Notamacropus eugenii: one gene and its partners. The protein of the gene in region 2 purifies or fractionates together with the protein of the main gene of each other region. This does not show direct contact. Links are inferred from orthologs where the notes say so. Each region holds a gene or a part of one and is shown on either strand. Other genes may lie near its edges.

The links.
Region 1: the proteins of DDX5 (region 2) and HNRNPA1 purify together in Homo sapiens (affinity purification with mass spectrometry; 4 studies listed by BioGRID and IntAct, with this or other methods). This does not show direct contact. The link is inferred for Notamacropus eugenii from reciprocal best matches to the Homo sapiens genes DDX5 and HNRNPA1.
Region 3: the proteins of DDX5 (region 2) and DHX9 fractionate together in Homo sapiens (co-fractionation; 3 studies listed by BioGRID and IntAct, with this or other methods). This does not show direct contact. The link is inferred for Notamacropus eugenii from reciprocal best matches to the Homo sapiens genes DDX5 and DHX9.
Region 4: the proteins of DDX5 (region 2) and FUS purify together in Homo sapiens (affinity purification with mass spectrometry; 5 studies listed by BioGRID and IntAct, with this or other methods). This does not show direct contact. The link is inferred for Notamacropus eugenii from reciprocal best matches to the Homo sapiens genes DDX5 and FUS.

Annotation. Positions count from the first base shown.
Region 1 is NC_092874.1:227,403,408-227,410,950, forward strand, and holds the start of HNRNPA1 (heterogeneous nuclear ribonucleoprotein A1), read left to right. Parts: upstream 1-4,524; 5' UTR 4,525-4,692; coding exon 4,693-4,707; intron 4,708-5,328; coding exon 5,329-5,445; intron 5,446-5,673; coding exon 5,674-5,820; intron 5,821-5,948; coding exon 5,949-6,159; intron 6,160-6,261; coding exon 6,262-6,354; intron 6,355-6,444; coding exon 6,445-6,537; intron 6,538-6,961; coding exon 6,962-7,036; intron 7,037-7,303; coding exon 7,304-7,462; intron 7,463-7,543. UniProt on the Homo sapiens protein: Involved in the packaging of pre-mRNA into hnRNP particles, transport of poly(A) mRNA from the nucleus to the cytoplasm and modulation of splice site selection.
Region 2 is NC_092873.1:327,525,290-327,532,662, reverse strand, and holds the start of DDX5 (probable ATP-dependent RNA helicase DDX5), read left to right. Parts: upstream 1-4,358; 5' UTR 4,359-5,050; intron 5,051-5,433; coding exon of another isoform or gene 5,434-5,455; exon of another isoform or gene 5,456-5,566; intron 5,567-5,768; exon of another isoform or gene 5,769-5,858; intron 5,859-5,912; exon of another isoform or gene 5,913-6,073; intron 6,074-6,396; 5' UTR 6,397-6,521; coding exon 6,522-6,565; intron 6,566-7,373. Other genes in the region: CEP95 (centrosomal protein of 95 kDa), read right to left, coding at 2,599-2,706, 3,578-3,706, 5,434-5,455. UniProt on the Homo sapiens protein: Involved in the alternative regulation of pre-mRNA splicing; its RNA helicase activity is necessary for increasing tau exon 10 inclusion and occurs in a RBM4-dependent manner. Binds to the tau pre-mRNA in the stem-loop region downstream of exon 10.
Region 3 is NC_092873.1:462,361,170-462,368,075, reverse strand, and holds the start of DHX9 (ATP-dependent RNA helicase A), read left to right. Parts: upstream 1-3,897; 5' UTR 3,898-4,049; intron 4,050-5,506; 5' UTR 5,507-5,527; coding exon 5,528-5,638; intron 5,639-6,257; coding exon 6,258-6,398; intron 6,399-6,906. UniProt on the Homo sapiens protein: Multifunctional ATP-dependent nucleic acid helicase that unwinds DNA and RNA in a 3' to 5' direction and that plays important roles in many processes, such as DNA replication, transcriptional activation, post-transcriptional RNA regulation, mRNA translation and RNA-mediated gene silencing.
Region 4 is NC_092874.1:377,559,249-377,566,400, reverse strand, and holds the start of FUS (RNA-binding protein FUS), read left to right. Parts: upstream 1-4,146; 5' UTR 4,147-4,225; coding exon 4,226-4,238; intron 4,239-6,376; coding exon 6,377-6,401; intron 6,402-6,488; coding exon 6,489-6,643; intron 6,644-7,152. UniProt on the Homo sapiens protein: DNA/RNA-binding protein that plays a role in various cellular processes such as transcription regulation, RNA splicing, RNA transport, DNA repair and damage response. Binds to ssRNA containing the consensus sequence 5'-AGGUAA-3'.

The DNA of each region.
Region 1 (7,543 bases), on a different chromosome or scaffold from region 2:
AATGCTCAATACAGTTAATAGAATCTCTACCAGCTTATTCCTCAATCTGGATTTTTCAATGGCAGAAAAAGAAAATTGAATATTACATGACTAGGTCAAATGAGAATTTCTTTGGCACAAAGAGCACCTCCGCTGCTTCACTTCAGGGCTGACCAAGTTAGCAATAATAGATGTAAAATAAAAAGTCCCCACTTGCATAATGGCAGGGAGTTAACAGGATAAAATTTACCAGAACATTTACTTAACACCTTGGACTAGAAGTCAATTCATATTAAATTTACAAATTCTATCCATAAACACGGTAGACTATTCCATGAGGAATAAATGGAGTGGAAGGGGGGAAGGAAGATTGGATACAAGTTAAAAGAATTTCCTAAAAAATACAAGTCAGTCATTCCCCAATTGATAAATGGTGAAAGGATATGAACAGGCAGTTTTTCAAAGAAATCAAAGCAATATATAGTCATATTAAAATGCTCTAAATCATTACTGTTTAGAGAAATACGAATTAAAACTCTGAGATATCATTTCACACCTATCAGATTAGCTAAAATGACAGAAGGGGAAAATGACAAATGTTGGAGGGGATATAAAAAAATTGGAAATTTAGTACACTATTGGTGGAACTGTGAACTAATCCAACCATTTTACAAAGCACTCCGGGATTATACTCAAAGAATTATAAAACTGTGTATACCCTTTGTCCTAGCAATACCACTACTAGATCTGTTTTCCAAGGTGATCAGGGTAAAAGGAAAAGAACCTACGTTCTAAAATATTTAAAGCAGTTCTCTTTGTAGTGGCAGGGATAAATTGCAGGGATGCCCATCAATTGGAGAGTGGCTGAACAAGTTGATATAGGATTTGTGATGGAATATTACTGTGTTATAACAAATGATGAGCATGTTGATTTTAGAAAAACATGGACAAACTTGCATAAAATAAGAGAGCAAAATGAGCAGAACCAAGAAAATGTTGTGTACAGTAACAGCAATATTGTTTGAGGAATAACTATGAACTACTAAGTTATTCTGAATATTATACTCAAATCAATTACAAAGAACCTATGAAGGAAGATGCTATCCATCTCTAGAGAAAAAACTGATAAATAGAAGTGTATATATATATATATATATATATATATATATATGTATATAGTGTAAGGTTTTACATACATGCATATATGCCTACGTGTGTGTATGTACACATACATATATAGAGAGTGTGTGTATATACATACACACACACACACATCAGTCTCAAATGGTGGCCTTCTCTAAGTTCAGGATGAGGAGAGAGGGTAAAAGGGAGACAGTTTAGAACTTAATATGTAACGAAAAAATTTTTTTTAAAAAGAGGAAAATTCTCAACAAAACAAACTAAATCAAGAACTGTTGCTTACTTTAGCTGTACAACCAAGAACTTCTGGGGTTGAACCTGAAGCTGTTCAGCCTCCCAATCCTTACTCACTTAATCTGTCATTCAAACTGCCATGTTCACACATTTCATATTTAACAGGCTGCAAAGGTGAATCCTCACAGACAAAGAAGACACCTTTTCCCAAAGATGGTAAATCAGCTGTCCATTCTTGACTGGAAGAGGGAGTGATTTGGGGACCTAGTTTCCAAAGAAAAAGTGTGAACAAACCACTTAATTAAAATGGCTTGTTAAGAGGTCCAACCTAGCTGAAAATAAAAGAAATAATGAAATAAAGTCCACTTTGAACAAAAGCACATTCACACTCATTTTAAGCATTCAACGTCTGTGAACACAATACAAATGTATAGCAATTAACAGGTCACAGGTTAGTAACAATAATAAAAATTTTAATGAATTTTTGTTTTTATTCAACCATACATGGAAAACACAAAAAATACACTTTTCTTGGAAAATGTGAAGCCTATAGATCTGATTTATCAGATCTTTAAATAAAGAGTCCACACACTTGTTAATCTGGTTTTCAAATACTACTATCATATGGCATATCTCTTTCTCCCTATGTTTAATCTCCAGTTTATATGAAAGGCAGATAAAGGTTCACATGAGATTCTCATCAAATGTGGTATTAAATCAAATTATTCATTTCCCTCCTACCTTTAAAACAAATGATATAATGATTAATTTTAACTCATCTCACATCACACCTTGTGGTCAAATACTGAGATTGTGACTAGTTAGATCACTTTCAGATACATCCTGTTATTGTGGATAGAGAGATAGTCTTGAAGTTAAGAAAATATGGGTTCAAGTCTAGTTTCTGACACATATATCCTGGTTGAGTGTTCCCCGGCAAGTCACTTAAACTATCCCAGGAATTCTGACACTTTAAGGAGTTTGATTTCCTTACTCTGTGCTTCCCTAAACCAAGGAAATTACAGGGCCTCCTCAGAAGATTTCATCTTTTGCATAGATCACAGAAAATGGAAATGAGCAGGAAAGCAAATTTTGAGTTTTTATTTACCAAATGTCTTTTTAAAATTTTATTTCTTTTGTGTACAAAGTCAGAGGGGACTATATAATAAAATTTCCTAAATTATGCTACTTCCAAAGAAGCTCAATTATTAACCCTTACTGAACTAGTCTGGAACAAAGCATCTGATGACATTTCTTTCATTCACGAACATGTGAATAGGTAAGTGTGGATCTGGAATCACCTCAATTCCTCAAGGATTCATCCTGGTTATTGAAAGGCTTCTGGATTCCCCAAGGCATGGCTACTTGGGAAGTTTCCTCATTTTACAAGTGAGGTAGTTTCAGATGACCAGATGACTAGATAGAGAGAGGTCTGAAATTTCCTTCATTGCAAAAGAAAAGGGGTGAAATGGGGAAGGTGTGTGTGTGTATATTTGTGCCTTAAAAAGCAAGTTCCAGACAAATATCTATGTTATGTTAAAAAATAAGGCTCCAAATATGTGGTCTTGGTGTACATGTGTGTTAAGAAGCAAGGTTCCAAAGAAATTTGTAGTCTTGGAGTGTATGTACGTGTTACAAAGAAAGGTTCCAGACAAACATGTGGTCTTGGATGAGGGTGTTATGTGCTAAAAAGCAAGATTCCAGAAAAATTATGTAGTCTTGCAGTGTAAGTATGTGTTACAAGGCAAGGTTGCAAACATGTGGTCTTGGGGTGAGTGTGCCTATAGGGTACAAAGCAAGGTTGTAGACAAACATGTGGTCTTAGTCTTTCCCTGGCCTGCACTGAACCCTAAGAGGAAAAAGGGCCGAAGAAAAGGCAAGCACTGATGATCAATCAGGCTTACAAGCCTCAGAACAGGACCACAGATGGGACTGGGCAAGCCCACAGACCTCCGTGAAAAACAAGTCATCCCCTAGGGATCCCCACCCCCAAAAGGCAATCCTCCTTCCTCGGAACCCCAAATCTAAACCCACCCCCCGCCAGAGCGCTGATTGGGCCGTCTCCCCGCGCGCTTTCCTTGGTTTGACCTCCCATTGGCTATTCGCCTGGTCCATCTATCTGAAAGACCCAGCCCTCATCTCTCACATTGGGCTCAGACCCTTGTCTCTCTGGCGAGCCCAACCTCCCCGCGCACTTCTCTCCAATTTGCTTAGAGCGTCCCAGCTCAGGAAAGAACCCGCCTCCCGCCTTCCTGTGGCCCAAGGATCGATGTCAGTTACTAAGAACCACCAAATGGAGTCTCAATTGGTCTACGGTCTTGTCAATCTTATTCATCCATTGGGTTCCCTCCTATACAGCCATTGGACGAGAGGACAGGCCATCAGGACAATTACACCCGCCTCCTGTTCGCCTATTGGTTGATCAACCCTGTCGCTCTTCCTCCGCCCCCCCCCACCCCAGCGGTCCATTCATTTCACACAATAACGGGCCCGATTGGAATTGCTCCAAGGACCTAGAAGTGTAGACATGGTTGTTTTCCACTTACCCGGGACTGAGAGCGTTCTCTCACCCTAACCTTGTCCCCGTTCCTCTGCGAAGAGGCCGGACCACAAGGAACCACCGCCGCCTTCTGCGCAACGCCAACCGCCCGCCAAAACGGATCCGCCGCTGCGCTTGCGCACGCGATCCAACGAAGGACCCTTCCTCCGCCCACTGCGCATGCGCATAAAGGGACAAGACTCCCGCCACTGCGCAGGTGTATTACATAGGTCCGTTCTTCCCCGCCATTACACGTTGTACAAATAGCCGTCAGGTCTTTTTACTGCGCTTGCGTTAATTGGCTGTGGCACTACGCATGCGCTCTCAGAGAATAGAAGCCCAAGAAGTAATTGTTAGTCATTTATTATTTTTTTAATTTTTCACGTTTAATAGTGTTTTCCTCCCTAAATATAGCGTAATATTTTAAACAATTAAAAATTAAAGTTACCTAAAAAAAACTGGTTACCTTCAAACAAGAGTGACTGGCAGGAGAGCCAATCAGGCGCTTTAAAAAAAAAAAGAACTTCTCAGAAGCCAATCAGCAGCTTCCTCGGGGCGGAATTTACGCAACGCATTACGCTACGCAAAGATGCGCTACCATAGACCAATCGGTAGCTAGAATGATTGGAGCTATCCAATGGTTGACAAGGAGGGGAGGAGTCTACCAATGCAGAACGCGAGGAGGCGGGATTAAAAAGCGGGTACGAAGGTGGGGAGACAGAAACGCTAGTTAGCTATCTCCTTTCTGTTCTCGACACCGTTGGAGAAGGATCGCTGAAGCTTTTGCTACCGCTCTCACCATGTCGAAGTCAGAGGTAAGGGAGTCGCAGCCCAACGATTGTGCTATCTCGTTCTTCTCTGTTCTGTTCCCCGTATCCTCTTACGGTGCTTAGCCCAATACGCCTCTAATACGACCTTTATCCGTGAGTTCTGTAGCCTGCTGTCGCTGTGGCCTGCTCCTTCCACACCCCCCCCTCCTAGGTCGCCATTTTGTAGGCCCGGCCGCCATGAGCCTTTAGCCCTCGCGGTCCTCGAGTTACAGGCTCTTCGAGTGCCACCGGCCCAAACCCTTTGTCTCGTTTGGCCTTATCTCCCCTTGATTTGGGGCTGGTTTCGATTGCCTGACGACCAGGTTTTTTTTTTTTTCGTTTGTATTCGCGGTCATCCACCCTCTCTTTGTTGCGCATGCGTTGTTTTTTTGCCCCCTTTCTTTACCCACCCGTACCCGGGCTTCTGACAGGCGGGCCTGGGCGCTAGTGTAAACCTCGGGCCCACTCTTTGTCCCCTGCTGGGGGGGGGGGGGGCGCGTGTACTTTAAAGCGCAGCGCCTCTTTCAGCCAGGGTCCCGCGCCGATTCCCCCCCCCCCCCCCTCCCGACCACCAGCCATGACTTAAAGACCCTTCCCTTTTCCAATTCTTTGAATCGTGTCGTCCAGTCCCCCAAGGAGCCCGAGCAGCTTCGGAAGCTCTTCATCGGAGGCCTGAGCTTTGAGACGACGGACGAGAGCCTAAGGAGCCATTTTGAGCAATGGGGCACGCTTACAGACTGCGTGGTGAGTGCTGAGGCCCGGGAAGTGGCTGTACATCCTGAGAAAAATTCACACGTGGGGGTGGGGGGTATCTTTAAAATGTGCTTTTGTTGGAAATAACTTCCTCTTAAATTGGTTAGTGCAAGAAGCTCAGTGGCCCATCATCTGCTTTTGTACTTGCAAGAGACTTTTGTGCCTTTTATTGCCTTTACTGCTTACTAACATGTTGTCTCTGCTCCCTTAATGTCTCAGGTGATGAGGGATCCAAATACCAAACGTTCCAGGGGCTTTGGTTTTGTTACCTATGCCACAGTGGAAGAGGTAGATGCAGCCATGAATGCTAGACCTCACAAAGTTGATGGCAGAGTTGTTGAACCAAAGAGAGCTGTATCTAGAGAGGTATGTTCCTTCATCTTTTTGGAAGTAACGATTTATAATACAGGTTGGGTTAGTCCTTTAAGGCTTCTGCGACCTCGAGATTGTGAGTTTCCTAGCCATTTCCACCGATTGTTTTTCGTCTTGTCTAGGACTCTCAAAGGCCAGGAGCCCACTTAACTGTGAAAAAGATCTTTGTGGGTGGCATTAAGGAAGACACTGAGGAGCATCACTTACGAGACTATTTTGAACAGTATGGAAAAATTGAAGTAATTGAAATCATGACTGACCGAGGCAGTGGCAAAAAAAGAGGCTTTGCTTTTGTTACTTTTGATGACCATGATTCTGTGGATAAGATTGTCAGTGAGTATCACAAATGGTATTGGAAGTAACCAAGCTTTGTAAATCTTCTTTGTTGAGATTTACCGGCAGTTAGGTGTTTCTAATTGGAGATTTTTTTCCTAGTTCAAAAATACCATACTGTGAATGGCCACAACTGTGAAGTAAGGAAAGCTTTGTCTAAGCAAGAAATGGCCAGCGCTTCATCTAGTCAGAGAGGTAAGTTTTCTATACCACTGGTTTGGTTGCCATCTTGTGCTTATTGTCTCCAGTTTTTTAAGGGTGGTCTTTTTGTGTGTGTGCGCGTAGGTCGAAGTGGTTCTGGGAACTTTGGTGGTGGCCGAGGGGGTGGCTTCGGTGGAAATGACAACTTTGGCCGTGGTGGGAACTTCAGTGGTCGTGGTATGTATTTTCACAGTAAGCAAGCAGCAGTACTTTTAATTTTGTTTGGGCCTTCTGTTAAAGCTTTTAGGTATTCATGTGGAAAAGAGAAACTTTGCTGCTTCCTCTCCAGTCTAGTGACCATCCTTACTATTTCTTTCTGGACTTTTGTCAGGACTTTGCTGCCTGTTTGGTAGCATTCCTCTGATTTATTACCATTTTGGACTGTTGGCTTCAGGCAGATAGTTTGGTCACCAGTGGTTTGGATATGGTGTTATTCTTGATTTGGTACCTAAGTTGGTTATAGTAAAGGTAACTTGGCTGGATGAGGATGACTAGGTTTTTGTTTTGTTTTGTTTTCTTTCGTTTTTTTGTTGGGTTTTTTTTTTTTTTATTTAGGTTTGATAGCTGATGCCCAACTGAATGCCTTTTTTTTTTCTTCCAGGTGGTTTTGGCGGCAGTCGTGGTGGTGGAGGATATGGTGGAAGTGGAGATGGCTACAATGGATTTGGAAATGATGGTATGTGCTAAAATCTTACTTAGAATATAATTATATCAAGTTGGGTAAATAAAAGGATTCTTGGCCCTTCCTCTCCCCCATTAGAACAGGCCTAGTTTTGCTTTTTTTGTTGTCTTTCTTTTGTTTTTTAAGTGCTGCATGTGTTGAGCTTGACCTGATTGTCCCAACATAACATGCATGCTGTGTATTGGCCTTGAGCCTTTAAGCTTGCATGTATTTTTTGACTGTCAAATTTGTCTTACTGAGAAGAATTGTATTCTTCTGTAGGTGGTTATGGAGGAGGCGGCCCTGGTTACTCTGGAGGAAACAGAGGCTATGGAAGTGGTGGACAGGGTTATGGAAACCAGGGCAGTGGCTATGGCGGGAGTGGCAGCTATGACAGCTATAACAACGGAGGAGGCGGAGGCGGCTTTGGCGGTGGTAGTGGTAGGTATCAAGTGAACCCAAACAAGTATTATGGTGTGGTAGTCTAGATTAGTATTGTAGTTTTTCAAAAAAAAATCTTGT
Region 2 (7,373 bases):
AATATTAAGTGCTATATAGATGCTTGCTGATTGCAATTTATTAGCATTATCTTCTAAAAATTGTTTTTAATCAACTTTATCTCTCAACATATTACTTCTATCTCCCTCTCTCAGAGAGCTATCCCTTGTAACAAAGAATAAAGAGGGAGAAAAAACAGTTCAGTAAAACTAGCACAACAACCAAGTGTGACATAGAGCGTTTCATACCCTTAACCCTCCATCTTAGCAAAGAAGAGGGAAGTGCATTCCTATTTCTCCTTTGGATTCAAATTCTCAGAATTTGTTTTCAATTTATGTTGCTGGGTTTTTTTCTTTTACATACTTGTAATCATTATGTACATAGCTTTTATGGTTCTGTTAATTCACTTTGCATCAGTTCATATCAAGTTTTCCCATGCTTTGGTTTTCTTCATATTCATCTTTTCTGATTACATTTATATGCATTTATTTAGCCAACATTCCTTTTATTTTTAAGAGGACAGGCTGAAATGGCACATCCTCTAGTTATATTTTTAATAAGATAAAAAGCATTTAGTGAATTTTTATCAGAGGGAGACATTCTACTTGAATTTATAGGTCCCTACCTGCATGAAGATGCTACTTTGTTCAGGAGAAATTTGTTGGGCTAGAGCCTGGCTGATTGACTGCTGTACTTGAAATAAAGAAGACCTGGGTGCAAGTCCTGCTTCTGACACTTACTAACTGTGTGACAATGGAAAAAATCGTTTAACCTCTCTGAGCCTCAGTGTCTTCATCTGTAAAATGGGGATAACAACACTTGTAGTACTTATCTCAAAGGGATGTGATGTGAATCAAATGAATTAATGTATGAAAAACACTATGTAAATATTTACCATATAAATACTATTTGGATATGAAAGATAAGATTTCATATAGTTACTTCTTCATACACACTTAAGAGTTCACACTTTTTGCTAATCAGGTAGGCAAAAACATGCAAGGAAACTAAAGGGGAGGGACTTTCTTAAGCGCTATTGAAACTGTTAAGAGCTTAACTGTATTGGCAATGCAATTCACAAAATGAACTTAAAAGCCTATGAAAAATATAGCCTTTATGTGTAAAGACCATTTAAACTTTTTTTTATCTCAGTACTGGCAGTAGTACAAAACAACATGAGGAGAAGTAATGGTGAAAGTTTTGGTTTTGAGAGAATTCACTTATTTATTCATAATTAAAATGAATAAGGCTCCATTTAGTACCACTCATATGGGTGGTATAGCAGATTTTTTTGTTTTAAATAACATTAGATAATGGTTATTATTTTACACATCCAGAGCAAGAATTTGAAGCCTAGAAGAACTCCTGGGAATAAAAATGAGGAGTAAAAAAAGCTGAACACTCAATAAAACAGAAATTGCATAGTTTTCATTTCCTATCAGAATACACAATTGTAAGTAACTCCAGGGTGTCTCTGCTTTCCAGGGTGGGGAGAACAATTTAGCTGCTCAGCATCCCATACTGTGTATTGTAATTACACTCTCAATTGAGTTCCCTTTAATTTCTGGCCCCAATTTCCTCATCTGAAAGATGAAGATGCCAGTCTTAACTGTGACTAATAGAACTGTGACATTAAAACTATGTCATACTAACTCAGCTTATTTCATATAACTTCTCACTGTTGGAAAACCAGATGGATTGTACCTACTTTTTGCTCCTGGACACACCATGAACTTTCCCACCTTCTTGGATTGGTTCACACAATCTCATAAGCCTAGAATTCCCTCCTTCCCTCTTCTCTAATTGAATTTCTACAACTGAATGCCACTTCTATGAAGTGTTCTTATTTCCCTCCCCTAAACCACCACCATTTGACCATTTATTCTGCACCTCCTAAATGAACTTATATAGTAAAATACATTATAGTTATCTGTCTTAGTGTCTTAGTGACTTGTTTGCAAGTATGTAAGATCCAACTGAGCAGGAAGTGTGTTTTCAACTTTCTATCTCTGATTCTTAACAAGGAGCAAAGCACCAGATGCTTAATGTCTGAATATAAACAAAATGAAGGAAAATAAATGAACAAATTAATTTACTAGTCCCATTCCCTCATTCTTATCAATAAGGAAACAAGACCAGAGAAGTTAAGTGATTTGATGAGAAAATAGTGGCTGGAAGGCTTGGGAGAGCGTATGTTTTTGTAAAAGTATTACCTATGGACTCAGAAGAGACACAGGTTCCAATTCACCTCTGTCATGTTTTCCTGTGTCTGATCATGAGGAAATAGTCATTTCTATTCTTCAAGTCTCAGTCTGTTCATCTGTATAATCATGGCCACAATACTTGGATTATTATCATAGGATTGTTGTGAGGATCAAATGAGAATATATGTAAAACACTCTGCAACTACATCAATGCCAAGTGCCTGGTACTGAGCGGGAAACTGATAAATATTTGCTACTTCAAGGCTTAATTACAAAGGGGCATTAAATTACAGATCTCTTGACTGTAAATCCAGTGTTCTTACCCTTTCAGCATCTGCTCAATTAAATGACGCATAGAGTCCAAAGAAACAAAATAATTTCCTCAGGAAAAATATAATTGTTTGAATTCAGTTTGAGATGGTTCACGTTACTAACCTGTTATATGGGACAAGCTGACCTGCAAGTAATCCAAGGCCAGTGAATCAATAATTGCTTGTACATTGTGTGCATGATCTTCTTGGTTCTTAGGGACAGTTATGAGGTCTGTGAAGGAAAGGGAAATAACATTGTTTTATAACTGCAAAATACCAAATTCAGAAGATGTTGACTAATCCAGGTCATCAGGGGGTCTAGTGTAGGGGTGTGGCAGCAGAAATGGTGGAGAGGAAGAGGACCACAGAATCTCTAATCAATGATGATTCATTGTACATGGGCAGTAAGTTATGTTAAAGATGACTGAGGAAACAGTGGGAAAAGCACACTAATACTGACATAAAGAATTCAAATTCTGAAAGACAATTAGACTTCAAAAGGCAAAAAAACCCAACAAACTCAGTTCCCTCAAGTAAATATGCTTTTTTTTCTCCTAAATTAAAATGAAATTTAAACCTTTAAATGCTGACTGGATCTTATACAATCTCAGTGCCATTTTAATGTATCTATTCAGCAGAGCTGCAATTAAGCAGTTATTAAATCCTGACAAAATGACTTAAAACATCATTGTTTAGTCGTGTCCGATTCTTCATGACCACACAGACTATAGCATGCCAGGCCCTTCTATGCTCCACCATTTCTTGAAGTCTGTTTATGTTTATTGTTTCTGTGACATTATCTATCCTTTTCATCTTCTGACTTCCCTTTTCCTTTTGCCTTCAATCTTTCCCAAAATCACGGTTTTTTCCAAAGAGTCCTGTCTTCTCATTATGTGACCAAAGTATTTAAGCTTCAGAATACCATACATGGATTTAGAATTGGAAAAGTTGTGTTTGTCATCAGGGCATTACAGCACGGATGTAACATTTCAATTCAAATAGGTAGAATTCTTTTTTGTAATTGCAAAAAGACTAAACTGCAGTGAAAGTCCTGGGAGACAAAATATAGGAAATAAACTGACCCCATGTCTTAGTATTCTTACCTGGTACTACTTCTCCCAAGATAGAATGATAAAGAGTAATAAACACATTTGCATCACACTCAGAAAGAGACTGTATCCTCAGCCAAATATGACACTTCAAAAGAAGGTTATTGGCAACTGATACCCACTCTGGAAAAAAAAAGATGTAAAAAAATGTTATCGAGTTGGAAAAAAGCAAATCTAAAAAAATCAAGTATGGAGTTCTGTTTACTTAAGTAGATAAGGAATCAAAAAAAAGCTGTCTTTAAACTAAAAATATTTACAAGTGTAGGGAAAAGTCATACTCTAAATATTATTCTGAAAATAACAGCTCTGACTATAAATTCCTAAAAGACTTAGGTTTAGTTTTGTTAGTATTTTAAGTAAATTATAAATTTATCCACTTTTGAGATACTGTTTTTACTAACAGAATAGAAATAATCAAAAGTAATCAGTACTACATTTTTAAGATTGTGTATGGGAGCCCAAATGTTACTTCATCACAACTTTAAACTGCAGCTCATGATGTGAAAATAATGGAACACCAGGAACTTTGAAATGGTGAGCTTTTGAATGTCAAAATAATTTTCATCCTTCTAAGATGAACATAAGCTATGATTCCATTAGTTTCTCCGCAACCACCACCTTCTCCATGAAGCTGCTGCTGGTGTCCTGGAGTCAAACACTGCCTTGCATTGATACATAGTTACGTGCATGTTGTTTCCCTCCACAAGCTTCGGGAGGGGAGGGGTTATTTCACCTTTGTCAGTTTCCTCAGCGTTTAGCTCGCAGGAGGTGCTTAAGATTGATCTGATTCTGGTAAAACTGATAACCATCATAGGAAACCAATTCCCTGTCATTCTGGCACTGGAGACCTATCCAGCAGTACTCACTCTCCACGGTCAAGCTTCCCAAGCTACTACAATAATGGACTGCGGTGCCCAAAGCAGCTGTCTGCTCCTGGACAGCAGCAACTCAACCAAGGCACAAAGCTGGCCATTCTACAAGACAGACCTCGAGTGCCGGGGTTTTTTTTTTTCCTTTTCACTGAACTTTTTCAGTCTGTCCTGTCTGTATCTCCTTTGTACCCAGCGGCTGGGTTTGCCTTTCTTTGTACCCTCAGGGTTCGGGGGTACTTCCCGGCGCACCGAAGGCTCTAAAACAACGCTTGCTGACTTAATTTGACAACCCTCAACGTGAATATTTCACACCATAAACACATTACTAGGTAAAGCTTTAAGTGAAAAACCGAGCTGGTTGTTCTGCTGCCAGACCCAAGCAATACGTAGATAACAGGAATTAGAAAAGGAAGACCAGGGACCTAACTTGGAGTTTTCACCAACAGCTTTCCGGTCGGAAAATGTATTTTGTTCAGGTTCCTTCAACACAAAAACCACGACTTCCTACAATCAGCGCAAATCTACCTTCTCAAAAAGAACAAACGCGTGAGAGGAGCTGCCGAGTGGTGCTCAGACCTGCGGAGCAGCGTTTCGGGTGAGATAACCAAGCTCTCCCTCCTCGCCTGCCCTACGGAGCCCGGCGTGTGCTCCCCAGACCTAGGCCCGCTGGGGTGCCTCCCTCTCAGCTGGCAGGTCCGCCTCGGGAGGGAAAGGGGAACCCCAACAGGGGACACATCACATAAAACCACCCTCGGAACACGCCTCCCAGGGAGCCCGGGGTTCCCCAGAGCGAGTTCTGGAGCTCAGCTGGGGGTGAGAGGCATGGGCTCAAAGCGCTTTCAGGCTAGGTAAAAACGCTTCACACCCGCCAGCCGGCAAGCCGGCGAAGGGGAGGAGCGGCGGCCCCGCGCATTCGCAGCGTGCACACTTCCTCTTCCCCCGCCACCCATGGGTGTCGGCTTCAGCTGGGAGACTCACCAGCCTCCTCCCGGGCCTCCATGTCCGCGAGAGCTGTACACCGGCGGGGCTCGCGGGGAACGGTGTCCTGGAGGGACCGTTAAGGGAAAGGAGTGTGGCGGGGCAGGACGACGCGGGGCGGGGGGGGGGAGGGCGAGGAGAACCGTAAGGTAACTGGGGGAGGCGAGGGAGGGACGTTAAAACGGCTTCTCGCTGCTGATTGGCCATCTGGGTGCACTTCCTGTCGCTGCACGCGGCCAGGCAGCGGTTTAGGGGCTACTACTACAACTCCCCGCGGGATTATTCCCGCTTCAGGCTTTTCAGGCCGCTCCGTCGGTTAGACAGACCGGTGGCCGACCTAGTATAACCATTCAACCTAGGGAGGTAGCCGGCCGGGTGCCGGGGCCTGCCGCCCAGCTCTACATTTTTCGTATACCTCCGCCTAAGTGAGTGGATAAATAGTGCAGTGGCCGGCCCAGTGGGCTGCGGGTTACGCTCACGTGATCGGAGGAACCTCCGCCTCCTCCTTTTCCCTGACCGCGTACTGTGGTCCTTGAGAGTCGCAAACGTCTAGTCTGGGGTGGTGACGTTAATGTTTTACGGCCTGCCTTAGCGTAGGAAAACCTAAGAGTGAGGTTGACTATTCCTGAATTGGTGAAATGTAAGGGCGTTCCCTGAGAGAAGGGGCGAAGCAAAGGGAAACATCCGCGGGTGGGCCGCTAAGAGTTAATAACGAGCTAAGGTGGGGGAGGGGTGCTGGGCTCGCCACCAGAGGCTAGAACATGGCGGCGCTCGGAACGCCTGCGGGTGTTGTTACCTTAGCGTCTTCCCCCTCCCCCTCCCAGAAGGGGGTGGGGCGATGAGGTCATAGAGCGGTTCCCATCGCGCTTTGCGGCGGAGGAGGCGGTCCAGGTATAAAACCGGCTGCCGGGAGCCCTCTGGCTCCTCATTCATTTCCACCGGCTTGGGTTCCTCTTGTTTTAGCTGCAGCCTCCGTCTCAGTCCCCGCCCCCGCACGGCCTCGCGACCGCCGAAGCCACCTTTCCCCCCTCCCCTGCGATTTCCCGCTTCTCCTCGGTTGCTTCCCTCCAACCGCAACCATTGACGCCATGTCTGGATACTCGAGCGACAGAGACCGCGGCCGGGATCGAGGGTGAGTACGGACATTTGTCAGTCGCGGCTGAGAAGGGGTGGGGTGGGGGTGGGGTCGAGAGGAAGTGGGCTGGAGCCCTGTCGGCGACAGGAGGCCTCGGGCGCCGGCGGTCCGCGTCTAGTGGCCCTGTCCCTCAGTGCTGAAGGGATGTAAGGGTCTGTTGTGATGCCGCTTATTTTCATGTCTGGGCTGTGATTTGGGGGGACAGGCCCCAGGTGGGGAGACGAGGTAAAGGCGACGTCAAGCGGGGGTGAGTGCGGCGGGATGGTCTGCGGCATTTGGGGAGCCCCAGAAAAGTCCCCTAATCAGCCTGGCTTGGGGGGGTTCCGAAGCCGTTCGGGCGCGGGGGCGGCCGGTCTCTGCCCCGTCGGGGAGCTGGCGAGACAAAATGCCGGCCCCGGACATGGCGGCGGCGCCTTTGTTACCCCGCCCGGCGGAGGAGCTCAAAATGGCAGCTTTGAGAAAATGTGGCGCAGAGTGAAATGCTAGACAAAGGGGGAAGCGCCGCCCAAGCGGGAACGCGGCCCGGCGGACTCCGCCCGGGGCCGCGACTCCTCCCCTGGTACCCGGGCGGCCCCTCCCTCCCTCCTCGGCCTTATGTAACCGCGGTTACCTTCATCTTGAGCCCACCCACCGGGGTGCATAATGAGGCTCCCGGGGGACCTCCCCTTGTTTGGTGGCGAGCTGTCAGAACTCGGGCCCTTCTGTTATCTGCCTTCCGCTCGGAAACGTTCGGCTCTAGGGAACAGCTTGGTGTAAAGAAATGGGATTGTTGATCTTTTATCTCCCCTTTTGAAGCCTGGGTCCT
Region 3 (6,906 bases), about 130 Mb from region 2:
CAGAATCGTCTTGTGTTACTCAGATTTCTTTTCCTTTGTATTTGAAGACCTTCTCTTGATCACTTGCAGAACTTGTTTCTGAAATGATGTGTCAGATTTAACTATCATATGTCTTGGAGTTTGTAGCCTTGGATATTTTTCTGGAGGTGACGAATTCATGAATATTTTTCAATTGCTATTTCATTTTCTATCACAGAAGGTCTGGATAATTTTTCTTCTATTATTTCTAGCATTGTGATGCTGAAGATTTTTGTGTCCTGTTATATTCTTCTAGGAGACTTTTGATCTTTAGGTTGTCTCTACATGGCCTGTCTTCAAGATCAGTATATTTTTCTTGCATAATAGTGAATATATGTTCTTTTAATGTGATTGTTTTTTGCTTTTCTTCTTCTATATTGTCCTTAACTTCTGTATTTTTGCATTTCCAATCTATTTTTCTCTCTTTTGTTTCTTTGGTGATACTTGCCATCATAAATACCAGTTTTTCTATTCTGCCCATTATTTTTGCTACACAACCATAAATTCTGCTTTAATTCATATTTCTCCTTTGAACCACTCAGGAATAGTGTGCTGTGATTCTATGTTGTCCTTACATTCCAAGGTCTTCTGTCTCATTAAGTGTTGGAACATTTTCCTTTGTTTTATAGTATTTATTCATGATTTGCTCTCTCTAAAAGCAATGTTCCCTTCTGTTGTTAGTGTTTTCCTTGTTGATTTATTTGCTTGTGTTCAAGGTCTTTGAGTTTTCATCTTCCTGAGTTCATTTCAGTCTTTTTTCCTTATTTTCCCCTATAGCTTACTTTCTGATTCTGCCCTCTTTGATGGTGGTTACTTTGGGGGCTAGATTTCAAAGTGCCCCAGCCTCCTCTTGCACTGTGCAATTCATGATTCATTAGCTGAGGTCTCTGCCTCAGGTGACCTTTGGGTTGACAGAAATGGCCATAGCTGGATGCTGAGCTCTTCTCTGTGGTTTAGTGAAATGCTACATGGTTCCTCTACTTTCATAGTATATTGTTTCAGTGTTTTGTTCCATTCCTTCTGTTCCTCCATTCTTTGATCTGATACTGTTAGTACAGAGCTTTGTGGTCTGGTGGTACAAGATAGTCTGTCATAGCACTGTCTGTCATGGCCCCCAGCAGGCTTCTGCTTCTGAAGGGCTCCCACTATACTGGCTGTCACAGCCCAAGAAAACTTATACAGCCTGGCGTCAGGGGCTCCAAAGCACTGGAAAAATGGAAGGGGGATGATAGTGTGGAGTTAGATTTTGTTGCAAGTCCATATGTCGGATGCTTGGGTTTTCTAGTGTAGCCTCACTGTCGTAGCATAGGAGGTGGGAAAAGGATGCTGAGTGAACTCAGGATAGGCACCAGGTCATGGTGCAGTTTTTTTTAACCTTCTTCTGGATTCTAGAGCATGGGAACAGTTGAAGTTGCTTTATTTTTGGTGCATAATTTCTGTTTTAGAGAGGTTTAAGAGGTTGTAAGGATAAGAAGAAACGTTTAGTTTTCCATCTTCCACTTCACTTGATACTTGAGTTGCCTTTCTCATTCATGAATTATCATCAATAGTTAGCTTTTATATAATGCTTTAAGGTTTCCAAAATGTTTTACATATGTAAGATGACTGGAATATGCACAGAATGGCACCATGACATGTAATGGAAATACCTTGGAGAAACTTGACCATACATTGACATTCTGGAACTGGCACTGGTCTGTTAACCATGTGGTTAAGAGAAGCCTTTTTTGTTTGCCTGTGTAGGTGGAACTGGAGATGTCTTCAGAAAGGTCAGAGTCAAACTGGGGTCTGTGACTTTTTAAAAAATATAGCAGTATTTCAGTATAATTTGGTTTTTTTTTTTATTTTGTGCATTTAAAGACATCATTCTGAAAGGGGCCCATAGAATTCACCAGTCTGGCAAGGAGGGCCCTAACCAAAAAAGATTAAAGACCCCGTTCTAGTCCCTTAATCATCATCATATTTGACTCCTCTCTGCTTGAAAAGTTCCAAGGAGAGGGAATCTACCACCTCCGGATGCTGCTCATTTCATTTTTGGATATTTATAATTATTAGGAGGTTTTTTCTGACATCAAGCCTAACTTTGCCTCTTTCTTTTATCCATTGTGTGTAGCTCTGTTCTAACCAAATAGATCAGTTCACAGCCATGCAAACTATTATTGTTTAAAATAACTTTTTATTGATAGCTCTTGTTTTTATGCTGTTTATATTTACCAATATAAAAGAAGCTATCTTTTATAACAAAGAATAAGAGGGAGGGAAAACTGGGAAAACTAAAAAACTTATCAAAAATATCTACATTAATATGCAGTATTCCATATACCTAGTCCTTCAGCTCTGTAAATACTAACTCTTAAATATACTCCCACTTAACTGACACCTAAGGCAACAGGTTCCAATACTGGGAGCTAACTCAAAAGATCAACCTCTCTTTGGTCCCTCCCGGAGTTTATTCTATGAAACTCTAGAATACAGGGGTTCCCCACACTAACGTCTAGAAGAGAAATATGAGTAAAAAGTATCTATTTTTTTTTACTTATCACTATCCTTTTAACCTGAATAAGCACGAACATTAACGTACATTTACTTAGCTTTTAAGTGAACGCTTCTTTCGTAGAAGTGAATGAATTCGCTGAATTTGAATGAATTTCAAAATTGTAACATAATTAGTTCATAATGATTACAGGATGTGATAAAAAGACATAGATCATCTGATAACTGTTCTCAGAATTGCTGTTATTTTTCACACTGTCTTCATTTTATTTTCCTTGTTCACAACTCCTAAAGGCACGTTACTGGGGTATTTGTGTCCGTGTCATAAACTGACTTCACTGACTTTTACTGCAATTGCAATAGTTACAGCGTTTAGTAGATATTTCGCAGTAAAGCCCTTCACCACCGATCTCCAGCCTATCTTTCCAGGCTGACTGCGCTTCTCCTCACAACTCCGTGCTGCCGTTCCATGTGTATGTGACCTGCGCGCTGTCCTCTCGTACACGGCGCTCCATCTCCTGTCTCTCGTTCCCGGAGCGGTGGCCCCTTCACCTCTGCCTCTTGTAAAGGGTCACCTTCTCCAAGAGGCTTTTCCTCTCCTCTTCGCTAAAATCAGCCCACCTTTAGTTTGGTACGCTCGGCCCAGGTCAGGGGCTACCTTGCCCGTCTGCCGAGCTCAAGCACCTAGAACAGCTGCTAGCACGGACTAAGTCCTTAACTCGGGCTTGTTTCTAACAGAACTGAACTGGTCCGTTAAGGTTCGCGTGAAAATCCGGTCCCGTCAAGGAGACGGGAACCAGAGGACCACAGCTAGAACCCCTTCTTCTGCGTCTTGGCCAAGAGGGGGAGGGCAGCCTTCGTCATCACTGACGTTCCTCACGTTGCTAACATACTGTAGTTACTGTTTCAGCCTGGAAAAAAAATCCTGGGATTTCCGGACCCAGGCGACCACCTGGGGCAACCTCCGCTGTGTGGACAGAGGAGGACACCGAGGCTTAGCTTGCCCAAGGTCACGTGACGGAGGCGCGGCAGGTGGACCTTTTCCAGGGTCCGTGTTCTTTCCCTGAAAAGTCCGAGTTTCTCTTCGCACAATACGTGGCACGCAGTCTTATGAAAGGCAACCTTCATGCTCACAAGAAAGTGCCCCGGTGCAGGCTGCGGGACTCGGGTCCGATGTCCAAGGTCCTCCCCCAAGGGATCGGCCACAAACGGACATCGGCCCCGCCTCCAGAGAAATAACGGGCTCTCCCGAGCGGTAGCCCCTCCCACCCACGACGGTGGCTCCCCCTATTGGCTTCCTTCCCCCAATTATCCCCGCCCACCCCTGCGTCTTTTGCGTCTTTGGTCACGTTTCCCGCCCCCATGCCACTTAAGCGCACGCGCAACTTTTCTTTCCGCTTTCCTTCTTCCGCTGCAGTAGGAGCCATTTCGCGACGGGCTGCGCGCGGCTGGCTGTGTGTCTGTGGGGCCTCTCTGAAGGAACCGAGCCACGCGCGACTTTCGGAAGAGCAGCTCTTGGGGACACGGGGAAAAAGGCGGTAAGAAAGGGGAGTCATTCCCGTCTTTGGACGCGGCGAGGATGAGTGGGCGGAGACTGTTTTGTTTTGTTTTGGTTTTTTTTTTTTTTTTTTTTTTTTTTTTTTTTGCTCCTCTGCAGTTACCGCTTTGTCGCTTAGCGCGGGTGAGGGGGAAGGGTGGGGGTGGGGTAGCCTTCGCAGTGTCCCGGATGTTACTGTGCATGCGCGTTCTCGTCCTTGTGCGCATGCGTCAGGAGGGAACTCCGCTCACCCAATTCAGTAGCCTTTTTACTACCTCCAGTTTGTGTAAGAGAAGTGAACGTATGTTTTGGGAATCAGGTACCTTCGCCGTTTATTCTTTCTCCCAGATAAACAAGCGAACTTGTGTTTCTCTAGTCTTCCATAATGACACTGTTCGTCGCCATGAGCTCCCAGTCTCCAACTTGGGCACAGTAACAGACTCCCGTAGTTGTGGCTCCTGCCACTTTCTCACTACTTGGGCCTGGTCGTTGTGTGATCTTCCTTTTTTTAATACCTGAGTGTGACCCACGATCCGCTTAGCTTGCGCTTTGTGAATCTTGAGGTCCGTAGTAGGTCTAGATTTGCCACGGGCCACGCACACCTTGGCCGAGCTCTTCCTTATTAATTTTGAGGCAGTTTTATGGGTCAGCAGTCCTGGTCGCCGTTGGTTTGGCAGCTGACCAGATACAGATGATAGTTATAAGACTTGGGTGCACATTTTCTCTACCTGTAACTTTTAAGAAAGGCCTGTGACTCAGCATCTTCAGATACCAATGTTGTACGGTCAGGTTTTTGGCATATAAGAAGCCATTGTATCTTTTACGGTGGAGACTACCATAAAAACCTTATTTTCCCAGAAGAAAACCTCTTATACATATTGCGAATTTGCAAACAAGTTAAAGGATGATTACCTGTAAACTAATCATAGGTCATAGAGCTGGAAAGGGATTTCTGGATGATACCTAGTTGAGTGCCACCCTTTCCCCTAGGGCTTACAGTGATTTCTCCAAGGCCTCTCAGCCAGAGAGAAAATGGAATCCAGTGTCTTTTGGCACAGAATTCAATTGATTACTTCACCCATTATGTACCATGGGTATCTTGTTTTTCGTTCCCCAAGTACATTAAAAATATTTCAGTAAATGTGTTTCTGATTACTCAGGAGTGTGAAAGGAATGGGACTTCTAGTGTTACACTGGAGGAGGAGCTTGCTAATTGTCCATAATCTGTAGTTCATGTACTTAATTTCCTAAATGTAATATGTGCCTAGACATACCTTAAGTCTTAAGGCAGAATGAAGTACATAGTTGGATAACACAAGATGTTCTGTATACATTTTAAAAAATTTTACCAAGTTTGTATTTATTTGTGTGTTGAAGTATCTTGCTCTGTTCCTTTGTATATGATGATATGCATTTCGCTGGTGTTTTGAATTTATTTTTGACTTTTTCTTTCTCAAGGTTTAACAAGACATTTACATCATGGGTGATGTCAAAAATTTCCTGTATGCATGGTGTGGGAAAAGGAAAATGACTCCAACCTATGAAATAAGAGCCGTGGGGAATAAGAACAGACAGAAATTCATGTGTGAGGTACTAAAACAATATAATTCTTTATGTGATTTATAAGAAATAAAGTTTATATTCAAGGAAGGGAAATTCTATCTTTGAAAATAATTATGCGAAATATAGTTAGGAAGTGAGGTGTAGGGGGTAAGAGTGTATGTGTGTGTCTGTCTACTTGCTGAACTATGTTGATAAGAGGTTTATACCAGCTTAGACATATTTAAATATGGACTCCCTTGTCCATACCAGTAGGGCAGAACAAAGGAATTGAGGCTAATGAAAGTGCAACAGTTTATCAGCTATATGCTCACTTGTTCTATTAACTATTTCCGGAGTTGGAGCACTACTGATGTACTATATACATAAGTGCTTGCTTTGTAATATATAAAGAAAGCTTTCTTCATGAAATTATCCAAATTTTGCTACTGAATATGCTACTATATGAGTACAGAGGATCTAGATTTTATTGTGTGGTAATTTTTTCCCTAGCCAAATGCTGTATGTGATTATTCAAGCACCTATACGAGTGGAGCTGTGTATTTGCCAAGGGTTTGTAGAGAGCTATTCTAGAGATTTGTTATTGTTAGACATTTGCTGATGTCCAGATTCTTTATTAACTCTTGAAGTAATTTTTTTTCTGTTTCAGGTTCGAGTGGAAGGTTTTAATTATACTGGCATGGGCAATTCCACCAATAAGAAAGATGCTCAGAGCAATGCTGCCAGAGATTTTGTTAACTACTTGGTTCGAGTGAATGAAGTTAAGAGTGAGGAAGTTCCAGCTATTGGAGTAAGTATAAAATTACTCTGCCTCAATTATGTGAGGAAACTCCAGGATACTAATTTTGTCTACTTTGAAGCATTTAAAATTTTCCTTCAGATACTTTAACATTGCTCCAAACAGTAGCAGGGTCCTGAACTAGGTTTCAGAAGTTTTAAGTTTTGTTCTACTTTGGTATTTACCTGCTTTGTTATCTTGAGGAAATCCTTGAATTCCTCTCTTATAGTTGCACATTATCAAGGTAATTTTTATTAAGAGCTTCATTATGAGTTAGCAAAAAGGTATTTTTATTATGAACAAAATAGTAATCCCCTTTCGATTTTAGGGGTTTTTCTGTGTATCTATCCATGTATTTAATGTGATTGGGGATAAACATTTATTCTATTCTGTTAAACTGTTAACTTTTTGCTGGTACTTTTTTAAGTATAAGCGCTTTCCATCTTTATTAATATAGTTATCATTATTCTCCCAAACCCAACCCCTTCCTAGCTTCTGTTTACCTAAGTGATACCACTAT
Region 4 (7,152 bases), on a different chromosome or scaffold from region 2:
CCTATATGTTCTATGGACTATACTTAGACTATTCAGATTGTGTACCATATTTGGCCAAGTTGTATATTCCCCATTCTTTAGCGTACAGGTCAATATTCATCTCTTAATACTTACTTCATAAGGTGTAATCACATAAATGCTTCCCTGTCACATGGAGATATAATCTTTCTCCCCTCTTTGCACCACCTCAGTCTCTAGGGAAGGGAAGAAGTTTAGGTTCATGGATTCCCGTAGAATACAGTTTCTGTTTCAAGTCCACAGCTCCTCTCAGACTGGAGTCCCAGGCATCCTGGTTTCTCAGAGCTTCCATGCTAGCCTGGCTGCCTGCACTACCCTACTTGTAATCCTCACTCCAAGATCTCTATGGCTGGAACTACTGGTCCAGTGGGGCTAAAGATGGAAGAGAAGAGAGTGACCAGCTCAATGTCACCAGTTTTAAAGATGTAGGTAGCCAAGGACTTCCCTAGGGAAATTGGGCCTGCTCAACATCCTTGTTACACCTGATTCAATTATAATGATAATACACAATTTCAGTACTTAAGGGTTTTACAAAGCATTTTCTTTTTTTTTTGCATTTTCTTTTTTATTTTTTCTGTTATATATATTGATATCTTTTCTAAAATTTATTTAAGTTTTCAACATTCATTTCCACAAAATTTTCAGTTCCATATTTTCTCCCCATCTCTCCCCTCCCCCACCTCATAATGCCTTGCATTCTGATTGCCCCTTCCACCAATGTGCCCTCCCTTCTAACACCCCTCCCTTCCCTTATCCCCATCTTCTCTCTTGTCCTGTAGAGCAAGATAAATTTCTATACCGCTTTACCTGTATTTCTTATTTCCCAGTTGCATGCAAAAACAATACACAACATTTGTTCCTAAAACTTTGAGTTCCAACTTCTCTCCCTTCTTCCCTCCCCACCCATCCCCACTGAGAAGGCAATCAATTCAATATAGGCTATATATGTCTAGTTTTGCAAATGACTTCCATAATAGTCATGTTGTGTAAGACTGACTATATTTCCCTCCATTTCTGCCCCTGCCCCCCATTTCTTCTATTCTCTCTTTTGATCTTGTCCCTTCCCAAGAGTGTTTACTTCTAATTGCTCCCTCCTCCCATTTGCCCTCCCTTCCATCATCCCCCTCACCCTGCTTATCCCCTTCTCTCCTACTTTCCTGTAGTATAGGATACAAAGCATTTTCTTTACAAAATGTTATGAGTTAGGCAGTATATTAGCTCCATTGTATAGCTGAGGGAAACAGACATAAAGTCTGATTTGTCCATGGTCCAAGATGGGCCTTGAACTTGAACTGACTCTAAGAGTGCTCTTTATTACAATAGTATGCTGTCTGTCGTCCTTATATAACCTTTAGAGCTCTAGTCTTTGATCAGGTACTTTTGTTGACATATAATTATATGTGTAACATAGATAAACCTGGAATCTATGCTTGTTTTATCTTCCCATTAGATTTTCAAGTTCCTCCAAGGCAAGAATAGTATCCATCTGATCTAATCAGGCTCCACTGATTTTCTTTCTTTTAAAATATTTTTGGTGCTCTTTTTCCCTATTATGACTTTTCCTGCTCCAAAAGAAAACCTTCTTACAACTAAGTATAATCAAGTAGATCACTACATTGGTTTTCTCTAAAGGGTATGCCTCATTCTATACCTATAATCCACTGCCTCTCTCTTTTCTTTGCTGCCTCTTCCACATTTTGGTCAGCAGCCTTCTTACCCTGAAAATACCTCTGTCCCTCTGGTCCTTCATCTGACTGGTGAGGTCTTTCACATGGAGCTAAGTTCTGCTGAGGGACTCTCTGGTCCCTCATACCCCTGGAATGGCAACCTTCTCACTGAGAAGATGCTTCTTCCTCTGGAGCTCCTCTTCTATTCACGATTCCCTTCTCAAGACTAGGAATTCTCCAGACCATCCACAGTTACATCAATTCTATCTTGGCTTAGTGCCTGACCCGCCTGACTTTTCCACCTTAGCCTCACGTAGGGATGTATCCTGTTGGTGCCCCCTTCCCCTATTTCCAACCCCCTTTTTTATGTTATCTTCCCCCTTTAGAATGTAAGCACATTTAGGGTAGGGGCTGCCATTTTGGGGCTTCTATTTTTATTTCCAATGCTTAGTGTAAGTGTTTAACTTTATCTATCTTCTATCTATCTATTCCTTATTAGCCTTCTGAAGTCAAGATTGTTTTATTGATGAGAGAATTCTGAAGTCTTTAAGTGTAATTTATTTATTTTGGTTATTACAGAATTCTTACTTTGTTCTGAATATGTTTTCACATTCTTAAATTTCTTTGAATTCTTCATATTCATCATTTTCAATGGTAAAATAATTTCATTATGTTTAAAAACCACACTTTTTTCAGCCACTTCCAAAACTGACAGGCACGAAATTTGTTTCTGACAAGTACTCCAATAAAACACTCTGTCATATAAATAGGTGGGACCTTTCCCTCTGGTTTTGATCTCGTTGGGGGTATATTTCAGTAGAAGTATTACTGTGTCAAAGGGTATACAGTTAATGATTTTGGGGGTATAATCCCGCATCGTTTGCCAAGTTCATGGGCCAGTTCATGGGCACATCTGCCTTTTCATAGCCCCTTCACCATTCACTATTTTTCTTTTTTCTCGTCTTTGTCAATCTGACAGCTACAATAAAATCAAGGCTATCTTGGACTGGTGAAGGCTGGCCTCCCTGCGGACTTTCCTTTCCTGCCTCCACTTGCAGGTCACCCTCTCTGTGCGTGTTGTGCACTCGAGTGGACACAGTGAAGGAGCAGGTTAGCAAGCACACGATCCTAGAATCCACCCTTGGGTCTTGTGATGTCCGAGCTGAGGAATCCTCAGAGATCATCTGGGCCAGGGTCTGCCTGCAACTAAGAGAGCTAAGAAATCTCGTTTTTTCAAATAAATTCTTTCTCCTTCTCCTTCCCAAACCCCTTGTAACAAAGAATAAAAGAAAACAAGGCTCAGCCCTCTCCCACAAGGGAGGACACATGGGCTCAGGGGGGGCACAGTTCCGCTTCCTCAGGGTACATCTCAAACCAGGCTCAGGTAAGGCTCATCTTTAGGATCTTCCCCACATGTAGATAACGAGCTTTCCTCTAAGAAACATGATCCACGTACAGAGATTATTAAAAGACTATTTCTTTCACCACAGGAAGTGCTTAAGACACGAAAGAACGAACAGGCCCCTGTGGATAGATACAACATCTCAGCCAGCTCAGCCTACCCAAGAAAACGTGCCCTGGAGTCCCAGCGGTTACAGAGCGGGGAACCGTCTGTGCAGGGTCGTCACAGAGGCTGGGAGCGGCGTGGGGGAGGGGAGGGCCTTCGGAACGTGCTCTCCGGCCTGGTCCGCACGAACCTCTTCTCCAGTCTGAATAACGGACACGGCAATAAACCTAAGCCCGTCTGCAGCGTCTGCCAGAGGCCGAGGCGTAAACGCTCACACCGAAAAAGGAACCGCTGGGGCTGGCTCCAGTACACTGCTGCCCGGCAGGGGGCTCCCGGGGGAGGGGGGGGAAGGGGAGCATTACGGCGGGAACTGAGGGGTTACCAGGCTGGATTACGGGGGGAACTGTGTGTGTATGGGGGCCGGAGGCGGGCCAGGCCCCCCGGCCTCCATTGTAACCACAGTGCAGCAGCTCCTCGCCTCCCGCTCCCGGAGGAGGCGACGGGTGGAGGGGAGAGGAGGGGGGGGAGGACTGGCCAACTCCTCCGCTCCAGCCACCGGGCTCCGGAACAGAGCCTGACTTCCTCCCCCTCAATCACCACCAATGGTTCGTTCTCGTACGGCCGTCACCCCTCCCCCTTCACCTCCCCTTCCTTTCTTTTCCTGCCTTTGCTTCAAAGCGTACCATTTTTCTATCCGTAGGGGGAGGCTACAGGTTTTCTGATTAGAATGAAACAATATTACCTCTATGCCCAGCGTAGACAAAATGGGCAAATAAAAAGTTTCCTATAGTCTATATTTTTCATCTCTTTGTGTAGATCACCTCTCAAAATTCCCTAAGTTTGCGTTCGTCCCGTTACATTTCTGCCCGCCCCCATGTCCTAGACTTGGTACAGCCCTCTGCGGTGCGTAGGAGGAGGGGGAGGAGTACATAAGTTTCAGCGCAGGGGGTGGGGTTTTTCAGTCCTCGAGGCGTCGGCGGTCGGCTGCCTTCTATTTTCTGTTGCTCGGCAGCCGGTGTGCGCGTGCGCGGACATGGCCTCCAACGGTAAGAGCTCGTGGGGGAGGTGAGCCGATCCCTGATCGCCTCGCGCGACGGTTGGGTTAGCATTCGGAGCGGCCTGGAGCCCTTTTTGGGGGCCTGGAGTCGGGAGGGAAGGTAGTATGGTTGGATGGGTTGTGGCCGTGTCTGGGAGGAAGGGTCTCATTCTCGCGCGGTCTAGGCGGGAAGTAAGCGGAGGGCGGTAGGCGGGGAGAAGGGAGGCCGCTGTCGCCATCTTGTCCCGTGGTTCTGGCGCGTTAGTGTAGAAGAGCTGACTGGTAGAAGGGCTTTTTTGTGGTATCCTCTTTTTTTGAGAACGAAGCCCCCGGCGGCCTAGGTAGTAGGAGCATAAAGCAGCCGAGGGGAATAACGTTCAGCGCCTTCTCCCGCTGCGAGCTTTTCTCTGCCCGCTTTGTCGCAGTGCCGCATCCGGGCGACTTTGGTGCGCACGCGCGTGGGATCCACGCCCTGCCCGGGAGCGGAGGCCTGATCGGGGTGCGCGCGTCCCTCCCCCCAGGTTCTCAGCATCCCAGATTCTTCCTGGCTCCTCTGTAGACATCCCCCACTCAGCGTTCGCTCTCGCCCCCTTTTCCTGATTCTCTCCCACCTTACGGCCGAGGTTTTGCTCCCAAGGATGGACAGCCTGGCAGTCGGCCGGGAGAGGAGGTTTACCAGGACCCCTTCCCTCCTAGCCCGTTCACTAACGGCCCCGGGAGATCACTTTTGGTGCGTTGGGATTCAGGCCAACCTTCTTATGGAACTCCTTTGTTGAGCTTCTCTCCTTTAGCACTATGAAGGAAGGGTTGGGATTAGCTCTGTCTCCTTGAATGTAATTTCTCTTTATGAGTGGAAAGGGCCGTTTTTTGTTCTGAAAGAATCGGAATTCATGTTCTCTGCCCCAGCCGTCCTTGGGTAAGCAGGGTGATAATTCTGCTTCTGATGGGCATGACCCTTTAGCTTCCCTGGTTGTTGTAATTTGAGCCTTCCTGCAGCCCCGTGAAAAGTAGGGCAGGTAGTCATGACTACGAAGAGATTCAAGCAAGTAAGATTACTTAACCTCTGCCAAAGTCTGAGAAAGGGGCAGAACCCGGACAAAAAAACAAAACAAACGCCACGTTTCTTAATAAGAATGGAGGAAGACATCTGTCTACTTTGGTTATTTGGCTTTCATACTATTCTCCAAAAGAGCCTCAATCCCTTGAACTTAAAAAGGGGTGAGATTTCATGGAAGATGTTTATCTGAGGAGTTCAATACAATGAGACTTCTGGAATACCTCTCTGCTCCATTTCCTGCGAGTCCTTTTTGGGGAGGGAGGACGCCTAAAAAACTGCTTAGCCTTTCTCTGTCTTGGTCTTTATGGTCATATTTCTAACTGTTTGAGTTTTAGTCAGGAAACGTTGGGAATTCATTTTACGAAAATTTTCGTTGACCTTTTTTTGTTGTTTTCACATCCTTTTTATTTCCAAATTATCCTGATCTCATATCTCTACCCCAAACTATTTCTTATAAAAAAGAATAAAAATGGTACCAAAGGCAAGCTGGCAAAACCAATCAAACTCCCTTCCTCCTTGTCTCTCCCCTCCCCATCCCCTTTCAAATAGTAATTATCCTACCATGGATATTCATATCCACATAAACCTACAAAGGAAATTTCGATATATACTCATCTATTTTGGGAGGTATAGCTTGGTATTGTTTCCTGATCCGTTAGCCTTATTTTTAATCAGTTCACATGAATCCTCATGCTTCTCAGAATTCCTCATAGTCTTCATTTTTAGTCCATTTTTCTATGTTTTCACATATACATGAGAGAATGACTTTGGGATGTTTCAATGAATGTGACTTTGTAGACATTGGTGTCTATGGTGTTTTTCTTTAACTTCTTTGGGCTGTGTTTATCATTATCCTTCACGCTGATTTTTTTTTCTTTCTCCAGTCTTTTAGAATGAAAGAAAAATTTTTTTCCAGAAAATCCTCACTTCTATGAACTAGAATATTTAGCTTTATCCTTTTTGTGACACTGCTCCCTCTTTTTAAATTATGCTTTTTTGAGATTAAGCTTTTTGAAGCACATAGGTTTCTGTGTAGGGTTGGTGTATGTACATAAGAGTAATATAATTAAACTTTTTTTTTCCCCTTACAGATTACACTCAACAGGCCACACAAAGGTGAGTATGACATCAAAGGGAATACACTGGTGGCAAGATGTCCCTGTCCCAACTTTCATTTTTTTGATAATTATGTTCTTTTTATAGCTATGGAGCTTACCCTACCCAGCCTGGACAAGGCTATTCCCAACAAAGCAGTCAGCCCTATGGCCAACAGAGCTACAGTGGTTATGGCCAATCAGCTGATACCTCAGGCTATGGTCAGAGCAGCTATGGCTCCTCCTATGGACAAACCCAGAACAGTAAGTATTTGTCATCTTATTCTGGCTACCTTTTTAAAAACTACATTTGGAATCAGGATTTTAGATTTCAAAGGAATTCAGTTTAACAAACATACATTGAGACTTCTGAAATCTCCAAATCCTTTTGTTGCATATCTTCATTTTTTAAAATAAAATCTTTGTCTCATCCCTCCTTAAACCCCAGAATTTAATATGCTAGGACTTCCTTTTACTTTTAAAATGTATTATCCTATTATCCTTTTTTCACACCTCTCTCCCATTAAAAAATGCAAGTGAAAACAGATTTTTATTAGGTGCCCATCTACCCAAGTGGGTAGAGATTAATTTCTTTTAATTTAGATTTGATACTGCTTGAGAGTAAGTGGTTCCACTTTCAAGGAGCTTTTAACTTAGACAGCACTAACTCAGTACTTAAATGTGACACAAAGTGTAACTGACATTTTGAATAAGAGATGCTGCTAGTTGGTAAGATTGCAGAAAATAGGTTGAAATAAGAAGGAACTTAAAGG